2 linked regions of the Saccharomyces cerevisiae S288C genome follow. The protein of the gene in region 2 interacts with the protein of the main gene of each other region in a biochemical or structural test. Each region holds a gene or a part of one and is shown on either strand. Other genes may lie near its edges.

The links. Proteins that work in one complex are often made in the same cells at the same time.
Region 1: the proteins of TDA2 (region 2) and AIM21 form a complex in vitro, tested with the Saccharomyces cerevisiae proteins (3 studies listed by BioGRID).

What each region holds. Positions count from the first base shown.
Region 1 is NC_001141.2:359,267-365,716, forward strand, and holds AIM21 (Aim21p), read left to right. Parts: upstream 1-1,618; coding exon 1,619-3,658; downstream 3,659-6,450. Other genes in the region: MPH1 (3'-5' DNA helicase), read right to left, coding at 1-1,130; DJP1 (Djp1p), read left to right, coding at 3,955-5,253; U2 snRNP complex subunit IST3, read left to right, coding at 5,623-6,069; actin cytoskeleton-regulatory complex protein PAN1, read right to left, coding at 6,200-6,450. UniProt on the Saccharomyces cerevisiae protein: Involved in mitochondrial migration along actin filaments.
Region 2 is NC_001137.3:301,447-306,887, reverse strand, and holds TDA2 (Tda2p), read left to right. Parts: upstream 1-4,560; coding exon 4,561-4,941; downstream 4,942-5,441. Other genes in the region: 40S ribosomal protein eS24 RPS24A, read right to left, coding at 1-96, 563-565; aldehyde dehydrogenase (NAD(P)(+)) ALD5, read right to left, coding at 1,296-2,858; VTC1 (Vtc1p), read right to left, coding at 3,693-4,082; ribonucleotide-diphosphate reductase subunit RNR1, read right to left, coding at 5,272-5,441.

The sequences.
Region 1 (6,450 bases), on a different chromosome or scaffold from region 2:
TTGAAAAATGTCCTTATTCCATAAATTTTTAATCTCTTTAGCATTTGACCCACATTGTTCAATAACTGTAAAATAAAGAAGTTCCTCCACTTAATTCCTTCAGGTATAGTAGGGTTAGCAATAATTTTTTGGCTTTGTTGCATGGCTTTGAAGGCGTTTATTTGTGAAGGGTCACATTCCTCATATATACCGAGTTCAATTGCCTGTTGAAGCACTGGTTTGACGGCCATACCTAATTGTTCGATTATGTCTTCAATTTCCAACAAAAGGGGCACTTCAATTTTTTCCTTTTTTCTTTTCTTCATATATTTCACGATATCCATGCTTTCTTCAGTCCTAATTTCAATCTTGGAAATATCTAAGTTATTAACCACTTCTTGGACACCTTCCAGGTCAGAGGCTGGTGTAGCGGTCAATGCTAATAATCTGTATGATGAATTGAACCTATCTATGAATTTTACCACATTTGTATACGCAGAGGAGCCAGTAGCTCTGTGAGCTTCATCGATGACAAGACATACAATATCCTTAGGATCCAATACACCCCTCTTCAAGTCATTCTCCACTACTTGCGGTGTGGCAAAGAAAACTCTCTTATTGGCCCAAATTTCTTCTCTATTTTTCCTGCTTTTATCGAGTAATATAGCAGTTTGATCCGAAGGTATTCCTGTTATACCTAAGCATGCCTTAATTTGCTGGGCTACCAAAGGTCTTGTTGGAGCAGTAAAGATTATTTTGGCTTTTTTGGTCCAACGAAAATAATTTAACATTACTGTACTGGCAATGAACGTTTTACCCATACCCGTTGGGATGGCGCATAACGTATTTTGAAACAGTGATTTGTGAACAATTGTATACTGATAATCCCTTACCTCGTAATTTGTAGGGTACACGTAGAACGACAAAGCATCGTAATCAAGCTCATGATGAGTGGGTCCAAAACTGACATCTCTTTGAATTTCTTCGTACACAGTTTTCTGCCCAGGTAAAACGTTATCATGAAGGTCTTTTTGAACTGGTACAGCACGTCTCGTTATAGTTTCCTTCACAGATTTATTGATAGCCTTTTCATACAGTTTATCCAGCTCGTCATCTTCGAAATCACTAAAGTAATCATCTGCACTAGCCATCAGAGAGAAAAAAGGACACTAAAATAAAACAGAACCGGAATGTGTTGAATAAAACTGAAGTGAGCTACTATATCTTGAATCACAATATCTTAGCTCCGTGATAGAGCATAGGGCACCTCTATTGATCTCTTCGTGATGCCCGGTTATATACACACGTAACCCCGTAAAAGCCGTTACCCGGTTTATGTCTTTCTGTGAGCACAGTAAGCTAGGAAGGTCGATGGAGAAGAAGACTCCTGTCTCATATGGAACAACCTTGCAAATTGAGTGCAATTATCCCCTTTGGAGTTTGAATTTTGTGTTAGTACATTCTCCTTTTTTAACTTGTCTTTTCTACCACATGCACAATGAAAGCAATCTTGTTTTACCAGGCGCGAAGCAAAAGAAAAGGAGAAATATTGAGTATATTTTAATTTAAGCTTTCTGATTTAGAAAGTATCATGTTTTGTTGGTGATCTAACAGGAAATCTATTTTGACCGATTATACAATGCCATCGGAAGTTACGCCAAAAGTACCTGAGAGGCCCTCAAGGAGGAAGACATCTGAGCTGTTTCCGTTATCCGGCTCTGAATCAGGAGATATTAAAGCTAATAGCGAGCCACCAACACCAGCAGGAACGCCCAATGTACCAACACGTAGACCCATACTTAAAGCAAAGACGATGACTTCGTTTGAGAGTGGTATGGATCAAGAGAGTTTGCCCAAGGTACCATTGCAGAGGCCAGTTAGACGCTCCACTACTGAAGAACTAAATAATGTAATGAATAACACCAGTAAGGAGTTAGAGGAGATTGAAAGTTTGATTTCAAAGCACAATATACACAATGTTTCCAGGAAAAAAAGTCCAACTTCTGTGGAAGAGGGAAAGGTGGCCGCCATTCATCAAAACGGGCAAAGAAGTGCATCAGATAACAAAACTTCTACAAATCCCTCCCCACTCGAAAAAAATGAGCACGAGGGTGCTGAGGGCAATGAGTCTGCTATTTCACCTTCTAATTTAGTTAACAAGTCTAATAATGAAGTGACAGAGCATAGTGACTCCGAAGACCTTACTGAAAAGCAAAAGGTACATGCTGCCCTAGATAATGAGGCAGGGGATAGAAGCCATTTTGAAGAAAAGCTCATTCCTGGAGATATGAAAGTACAGGTAGATGTTAGTAAGGACGTAGAAGAAGGCAGCCTCAATGCTCTGCCTCCATCTGGAATCACAGAATCAGACGACAAAGCTGAAAAGTTCACTAAACATCCTGAATCTAGTTTAGAAGAGCTACAGAAGCATCAAGAACAACAGGAAGAAAAAATTTTCCAAAATCCAACCGATGAAGAAAGTACTACCTCTTTGAATGAGAAACAAGAAGGCAAGGACAACATGGAAGTGAATTCTCAGCCGCAAGGACCTTCTGATACTGAAACAGTTATAGCAGCAACTAGCTCAAACGTTCCTTCACAAATTGCAAGTGAAGAGGAAAATGACGTTCCAGTGATTCCAAGGAGTAGGCCTAAGAAGGATTTTGAAGCACACGTACAAAAAGAGGAGTTGCCTAACACACAAGAGAAGCGAGTATCAGAAGAGTGTGATTCGACCCTAATTAGTACCGAAGAGGAAAGTAAAATCCCAAAAATTCCCTCTGAAAGACCAAAGAGACGTGCCCCACCTCCGGTTCCCAAAAAACCTTCTTCAAGAATTGCGGCCTTTCAAGAAATGTTACAAAAACAACAGCAACAAGATCTGCATAATAATGGTAATTCTTCAGCTACTACCGCTTCAGCAGATATTGCTAAAAAACACACAGATTCTTCTATTACTAGCGATACCACGAAGGCAGATTTTACGAGCAAATTGAATGGACTGTTTGCGCTACCTGGTATGGTGAACCCTGGACAGCTTCCACCTTCCTTGGAGAAGAAGTTGTCCTCCCCGGATACTGAATCTAAGCTAGGACCCCAGGACCAATCACAGGCAAAAACGGGACCTCTGGGCGGAACTAGAAGAGGTAGAGGACCTCGTGGGCGTAAATTACCTTCTAAAGTAGCTAGCGTAGAGAAGATTGAAGAAGATGACAACACTAATAAAATAGAAATATTTAACAATTGGAATGTTTCCTCTTCCTTCTCTAAGGAAAAAGTCTTAATAGATACTACTCCTGGTGAGCAAGCAGAAAGGGCCTTGGATGAAAAGTCAAAGAGCATTCCCGAGGAACAACGAGAACAATCTCCAAATAAGATGGAGGCTGCTCTTTGTCCTTTTGAGCTGGACGAAAAGGAAAAGTTACCTGCTAATGCTGAGTCGGATCCTCTTTCTCAGTTGCCACAGACGAACGCCGTAGGTAATAGAAAAGCCATAAGTGAGGAATCTCTGTCCCCATCGGAGGCCATCGCCAACAGAGATCAAAACGATACGACAGAAATACAGGAACAGCAGATGGAGGACCAAATGGAGGTTGATATGGAAAGAGAACTCTCAGGTGGCTACGAAGACGTTGATTCTGCCTTACATTCAGAAGAAGCGTCTTTTCACTCCCTTTAGAATCTTATAAATAATATGTATGAATAAACTCTATAGTATGTATCAAGAGAGAAATATGTGAATGACGAGCAAACTAGAGGTGTTATTAATAATAATGGCATAAAAACTAGATTTTATTCTATATATATATATATATATTTCTTCGACTTTTTTTTTTTTTACCCGCACACCCTGAATTTTGTGCTATTTTGAAGCAGAGCGTACTGAACAAATTGGCAGATTTACAAGAGGAATAACAGAGTTATGCTAAATCATTAAGTGTTTCTTGCGGCCAGAAGGGGCATTATACAAAAGATATGGTTGTTGATACTGAGTATTACGATTTGTTAGGTGTGTCTACCACTGCATCTTCCATTGAAATAAAAAAGGCCTATAGAAAGAAATCTATTCAAGAGCATCCTGATAAGAATCCCAATGACCCCACGGCTACCGAAAGGTTTCAAGCAATATCCGAAGCTTATCAAGTTTTAGGTGACGATGATCTTCGCGCAAAGTATGATAAGTATGGAAGAAAAGAAGCTATTCCTCAGGGCGGCTTTGAAGATGCAGCTGAACAGTTCTCTGTCATCTTTGGTGGAGATGCGTTTGCCTCATATATTGGCGAACTGATGCTATTAAAGAACCTACAGAAAACTGAGGAGCTAAATGCTGAAGACGAAGCTGAAAAGGAGAAGGAGAATGTGGAAACAATGGAAGAATCACCTGCAGACGGTAAGACGAATGGCACCACTAACGCTGTTGATGCAGCATTGGGCAATACTAACGAAAAAGATGACAAAAATAAGGCGAGGACAACTTCTGGTAATTTAACTGTACACGATGGAAACAAGAAAAATGAGCAGGTAGGAGCAGAAGCTAAGAAGAAGAAGACAAAATTAGAGCAGTTTGAGGAAGAACAAGAGGTAGAAAAGCAAAAAAGAGTAGACCAATTAAGCAAAACATTGATTGAAAGATTATCGATATTAACAGAAAGTGTCTATGATGATGCATGTAAAGATTCCTTTAAAAAAAAGTTCGAAGAGGAAGCCAATCTTTTAAAGATGGAATCATTTGGTCTGGACATATTACACACAATAGGCGACGTTTACTACGAAAAAGCTGAAATTTTTCTTGCATCCCAGAACCTGTTCGGAATGGGTGGTATATTTCATTCTATGAAGGCTAAAGGGGGAGTATTTATGGATACACTAAGAACTGTTTCGGCAGCCATAGACGCTCAGAATACTATGAAGGAGCTTGAAAAAATGAAAGAAGCTAGCACGAATAATGAGCCTTTGTTTGACAAAGACGGAAATGAGCAAATTAAGCCAACCACTGAGGAACTGGCGCAGCAAGAGCAGCTATTGATGGGCAAAGTATTGTCGGCTGCTTGGCATGGTTCTAAATATGAAATAACATCCACTTTACGTGGCGTTTGTAAAAAAGTACTAGAAGATGACTCGGTAAGTAAGAAAACGCTTATCAGAAGAGCTGAAGCAATGAAACTATTGGGTGAAGTCTTTAAGAAAACTTTCAGAACCAAAGTCGAACAAGAAGAGGCACAGATCTTTGAAGAACTTGTAGCAGAAGCTACAAAAAAGAAGAGACATACATGAAGTTAGCAATCATCTCTTGTATATTAAAAATTCAAAAATTCACTTTTTTTTATTATCTGTATTCAATATAATATAATGTATATAAGATCACACTAATACTGATAATTCTATTCTTGAAAGAAAGACAATAGAACAATAAAGAAGTGATTGAACTCAGTGACAATGATAATTTATGTGATAAGGAAGTGGTTATGGCTGGAGAATTATGCCACACTTAAATGATAAGCTCTTTTACCTTTCTGGGTTTAGGAATTTTTTGAGATTAATACAGATAAAAAAAAATAGGCCGAACATTAATTACTCATACAACTCAAAAAGTGCAGCGTGCAATTCTAGATCAAGAACATAGATAATATAAACAAAATAACAATGAACAAAATTCAGCAAATCAACGATAAAGAACTACAAAGTGGAATTCTTAGCCCGCATCAATCATGGCATAATGAATATAAGGATAATGCTTATATATATATCGGAAATCTCAACCGAGAATTAACAGAAGGTGACATATTGACAGTCTTTTCTGAATATGGAGTCCCTGTAGATGTAATTCTTAGCAGGGATGAAAACACAGGAGAATCGCAAGGTTTTGCATATTTGAAATATGAGGATCAACGGTCAACGATTCTAGCAGTCGATAATTTAAATGGATTTAAAATTGGCGGTAGAGCCCTCAAAATTGATCATACTTTTTATAGGCCAAAAAGGAGTTTACAAAAATACTATGAAGCTGTAAAGGAAGAATTGGATCGAGATATAGTTTCGAAGAACAATGCTGAGAAACTCATTTTGGCTAAAAAGGACCAACCAAATTAAATAATTTTTTCTTTCATCGCATATCTTATATTCATATAGCCTAGAAAAAAATAATCAATATCATATTTGTAATTCTACATCCTTTCAGAAATTAGTATACATACGTATCTATAGAAAGCAAATTAAATCTTCATGGAAGGGGTGGGGGTGGAGGAATACCTGCAGGTGGAATTGATGGGATACCTGCAGTAGAAACTGGTTGTGCCCCTTCTTCCTCTTCATCTGTACCAACTGATTCAGGAATCGATAAAACGTCATCATCAGAATCGGATCCATATGCGCCCGTGCCTTTTTCAGCACCATTGTAGTTATCAACGTGAGCGATAATAGGTTCTGAAGTGGAAGCTTGTTGAGTTGGTAAAGGTGGGGGTGGAGGCAAAA
Region 2 (5,441 bases):
AGCTCTGTTTGGGTGCAAGACGTCGACGACGAATTGCTTTCTGGCCAACAATGGGTTGGAGATAACCTTTCTAGTACGGATAGTAACAGCGTCAGACTGAGAAAAAACAATTTAGGTAAAAAACCATTTTAAAAATTGTTAGTAAAATAGGTTCCAGTGTGGGGGAAATCTTTGGAAATGGCGTCCTTGAAAGATCCTTCCAGTTTTCATGATAGGGATAATAGTCCAAAAAAGGTTCCTGTAGCATAATGGTTAGCTAGATATCATTTTTTAGCGTTGAACTCTTAAAGCGGGATAAAATATTACGGGTCAGCTATTCGAGTGTTTAAATTTGAGTTATAAATTTAACCAATTACGATACGGATTTCACATTTCTTTTCACAATGATTGCCATTAATATATTAGCCAATAGTTGCTGTTACGCCACCTTAAATTTGCAAAACATTTCTTCTTTTACTTTCTTTTCTCGTTATGGTACCTTTATTGCCTTTTATACTAACTCATGGCAACTTTAACATGGAATATGGGACGTCATCTTTCATCTGAGCACTTTTTAACATACCATTTCTGCTTAATCTATGTTGGTTTCTTGAAATCTTTGTTTTGAACTAATACCTAACCATCCTCTAGCTCTTGAAATTCACTATAGTTATTCAATTCTTCTTCGCTGAGACAAAGTTAAAGCGCTGGGTGGACAACCGAGTGAAACTTCCTTCCAAAGGAAGCAGCCTTCTGGAGTATTCCGTTAGTGACTGCGTGGCCCCGCCTACAGGACGCTTAGGTGATGAATACTCGCCGAGGCGTAGGCTGCGGCATCGGACAATCATATTTTATGACAGTGGAAGAAGCGCAAGAAATGAAAAGAAAGTTGTAGGATGTGTGGGCTTGTAAATGTGTGGGTGTACAGTCCCGATATTGGCATACATTATCACATCGATAGAGTTTTCTGTTTATATATCTCTCTGGCACTTGTATCTACCTATAAAGATGAAATTTTGAAAAACAGAACTAGTGAGCAATTTGATCAATGAAACGAATTTGATTACTATATATTTCAATATACAATATCACCAAAAAAAAAAAAAAAAGTAAAGAAGGTAATTTCTCACCTATGCTTAAGAATGTAAATACATTGTTCATTAATGTTTATCACGTTATTATTTTTTTGTTTTGTTTTTTTTTTTTTGAATATATCCTTGTTAGATTTTATCTGTATGTCACGAGGCATTTTTCATTATTCTATAATGTTTATCATACATACCTTCAATGAGCAGTCAACTCGGGCCTGAGTTACTTCAACGAATTGGCTTGTCAATGGCAATTCTGACAGATTTTGTTTGAGTGTAGTTACTTAAAGCAGCCTCACCCATTTCACGGCCAATACCTGACTGGCCGAAGCCACCGAAAGGAACATTTTGGTGGAAGTTGTTATAGGTATTTATCCAAACAGTACCAGCTTTCACTCTTTTGGACACATCAACAGCCTTGTTAATATCGTTAGTGTGAATACCTGCGGCTAACCCATATTGAGAATCATTTGCCATAGCAATCACTTCATCAACAGTAGAAAACTTGGATACAGTTACAATGGGACCAAACACTTCCTCCTTAACAATTCTCATATCTTCTTTGACATCAGCAAACACTGTTGGCTTGACAAAATAACCTTTACTGCCATGTCTGGCCCCTCCAGTCACAAGACGAGCCCCCTCTGATTTTGCTACATCGACATAGTCTAAAATTTTATGCAGCTGTTTGTCAGATGTTTGAGCACCTTGGAAAACTTCCTCATCAAATGGGTCACCGACCTTTAGTGACTCGGTGTAATCCTTTAGTTTTTGCAACACCTCCTCGTATACTGTATCTTGAATGTATATTCTGGAACCAGCGCAGCAAACTTCACCAGAGTTGTAAAAAATACCGAAGGCAATGTTCTTGACGGCTTTATCTAGATCAGCGTCAGCAAACACAATATTTGGTGATTTACCTCCCAGCTCCAAAGTGACTTTCTTGACAGTATCGGCAGCGACCTTCATAATATGGCGGCCGGTGGCAGTAGAGCCTGTAAAAGCAATCTTCTTCACGTCTGGGTGTGCACTCAATCTTTCTCCAACAACTCTACCGGAACCCGGAAGGATATTGACTACACCAGCGGGTATGCCTGCTTCCTGACACAACTGGGAAGCGAAAAGGGCAGATAAAGGTGTTGTTTCAGCGGGTTTCAATACGACGGTGTTACCTGTAGCCAGAGCAGGCCCAATTTTCCATGACCACATCAATAAAGGGAAGTTCCAAGGGATTATTTGGCCGCAAACGCCTAATGGTTCCTTAATTGAGTAGGTAAAATGGTTTTTACCTGTGTCAATAACGTTACCGTAGATTTTATCTGCCCAACCACCGCAAGAACGCAAGTATTTAGATACTAAAGCGACGTCACCGCGCGCACAAAACAATGACTTACCATTATCCATTGACTCAATGGCAGCCAGTGTTTCTTGGTGTTTCTCAACCAAGTCAGCGAGATTGAATAAAGCTTTAGCGCGAACCTCCGGCTCTACAATAGACCACTTCGTTTCAAAAGCTTTTTTAGCCGCTGCAACGGCTTCATCAACATCATCTTCCATAGCCTTGTATACAGTTGTTATCTTTTCTTCGTTAGATGGATTGATCACGTCAAACGTTTTCTTTTGCTTCGAGGCAACAAATTCACCATTGATGAATAACCCTGTTGGCTGTTCGTAGGTGAAACCATTTGGAAGAGTAATTGGAACGCGTAATGGTGCTTGAGAATAAAGACGTAACAAGCTTCTAGTGAATATTCTGGAATTCGGAGCTGCAGCTCTTGTGCGAGAAAGCATTTCTTCTTCTTTGGCTTTTTGTTAATGTTGTGAAGAAGTTTTCTGTCTTAACCACGTTTGATGAGACACTTATCGTATTGTTATATATGCTAAAAATGTCAAGAAGTCCTAAATTCAAAATAAATTAAGACGTTCTTTTTACATGGGGCTTATATAATCGTGTTTTGTTCTGTTCTTTGAAGCCATTCTCATCGAAAAACTCTAACAATCTGCGTAGTGATGAGTCAGAAGTCTTCCAACATTTTTAACGATACACAACCCCTCTCAGTTTGTGAAAAAAAAAAGAAAGAGAATAGCTTCCATCTTTTGGCGCCTTAAGCGGTATTCTAAAGGCTCCGCGAGCGAGCCTCTTTAACCTAATGCAAAAAAAAATTGTTACGCACGTTCCCGGCTTTTACCGTAATAGTAGTCAAGAGCTTAACTCTACGGCTAACAAGCGCTTGGTTGTACTACGCTCAGCGTACCATTAGGCCCTTGCTAGTCCGGTAGCGGCCAAAAAAAAAAATGGAACCCTTTTTGTATACTTATTTATCATTGATGTGTAAACGGCTTCTTAGGCTTACATAGCCACAAGAGAAAAGAAAGATGCCTCATCGAAATTAAAATTTTTTTATAGCGCTTGATATCTAGTGAAAGGGGCTGATTTTCAACTTGATATCCAAAAACGTAATGAGTACAAACAATAGCTCCTGAAACGTGAATATTTTTATTGTTCATGATTACCTATAGATGGATACTTTCTATATATGCGTATATATGAAACTAAATTATTTGTGAGCATCTTGAAAATACAGTTTGTGCGTAACCCACGCTTACGATATTGGAATTACAATTTCATAACTTAGTGTTAGCGTCATTGTACTTCAATCTTAATATAAAGTTGATAATGACAGCAACCAATAAGAAAAAGCACAACAAAGTGGGCCCCAATCTGTCATCATAAGGACCTGATCCTCTACGTCTAATCGCAGCAGCTCTCCAGTGGTATGTTACAAGCGCGTATATCATTGTACCCATGGCAACAAAAGTAAATAGTCCTGCACTGACCCTACCTATCTTGTCACCAAAATTCAGTAAACCTACACCAAGGCCTCCCAGCATAACTGTAAAGTTCAACCACGACAAAAAGGTACGCTCATTGGCAAAGAACACTTTTGGCTCAACTCGTGTGGGCAAAGCGATCTTTTTCCCAGGTGTTCTTTGTAATAATGGTGCTGAAGACATATTGTGGAAATCTGGCGTAGTGTTTAATCGTATTCGATAATGTAGTAAATCGTATGTTACGTGTATGCAAGTCGCTGGTTATGGAAATATGGACTCTTAAATACTGTTATCTATTTTGTATAATGCAGCATTCATTTTCTTCTCTCCGAGACACGTGCTAATATCTATTTCAAAGTGAAGTATCACCGACCGTAACAAGCGATATAACCATTAGTTATCTGATACGTGCTCAAAGATACTTGAAGAGAGAGTCTCATTATTTCTTGTCTCTATACATTTCCCAGTTTGCTATACTTAATCGCTCTTGCCATTCTATCCGAAAATAGCGATGCCAATATACCTCCTTTTTTGTAAATTTCTTTACTAGAAAATACGTATTCTTCTCTCTATTAGCGGATACCGTCTTGCAGTTTTACAAAACGCACTGTAAATTATTTAGGATAAGTGAAAGTAAGTGATTACGAAAGTCAACAAAAAAATGAGTATGCAGATTGAAATAAAGGATGGAAGGAGTGATAACTCTCCTCTGCCCGAAAGAAAACTAGTTACGTTAATTCAAGAAAGTTATGATAGTTTAAAAGATGACAATGAAATCAATTTATCGACCGAATCAACTTCCAACCTTCTTATAAAACTGGTCCTAGAAAAACTTGAAAAGCACTCTTCTTTGTATAAATATATTGCCTCGGTAACGACGTTGAACATTGAAGGACTCAACGAAGAAAACGCTAATTTCTCATTGAAGAACGATATAGGCGCATCCTGGGAATCTAAAAAAGATGGTATATTCAACTATAAACTAGAAGACAAAAATAATAATGAGTGCTATTTAATTACAATTCTTTGGCTTCACAAGTAGATATGTATTTGCTTTAATGTTGCCACATAAAGTTGCGTTCCTTTATAGAACAATGTTGCCTAGACCCCATTTCGGGGCAGGGGGGAATCTGTATCATGGCCTTCTTACAAGGACAGCTTAAAATGTTCATGTTAAATTATTCGACTTTTTTTATGTATATATGCAAAGTAGAAAAATAATTAGTAAACATATATAGGTACCTTTTAGCTTGGCATTAGAATGGAAACCAATTTTTTTATCAGAGAAAACAAAAGAAAATATAAATTACACCTCGAAGTAAACACCCAAATTTTGATAAATAGAATTGAAGAAATAAAAACTTAGCCCTCATTAACCCGAACACATTTCACAAGCTTCTGGGTTATCAATAGCACATGCTATAACCTTAGAGTTGTAAATGTCGAACTCGGTTTCCTCATCATCAACGATGGGGGCAGCTTTTTCTTCATTCTTAGTTGGGGCAGGTACTTCAGGAACTTCTACCTTAGACTCTTGAACGT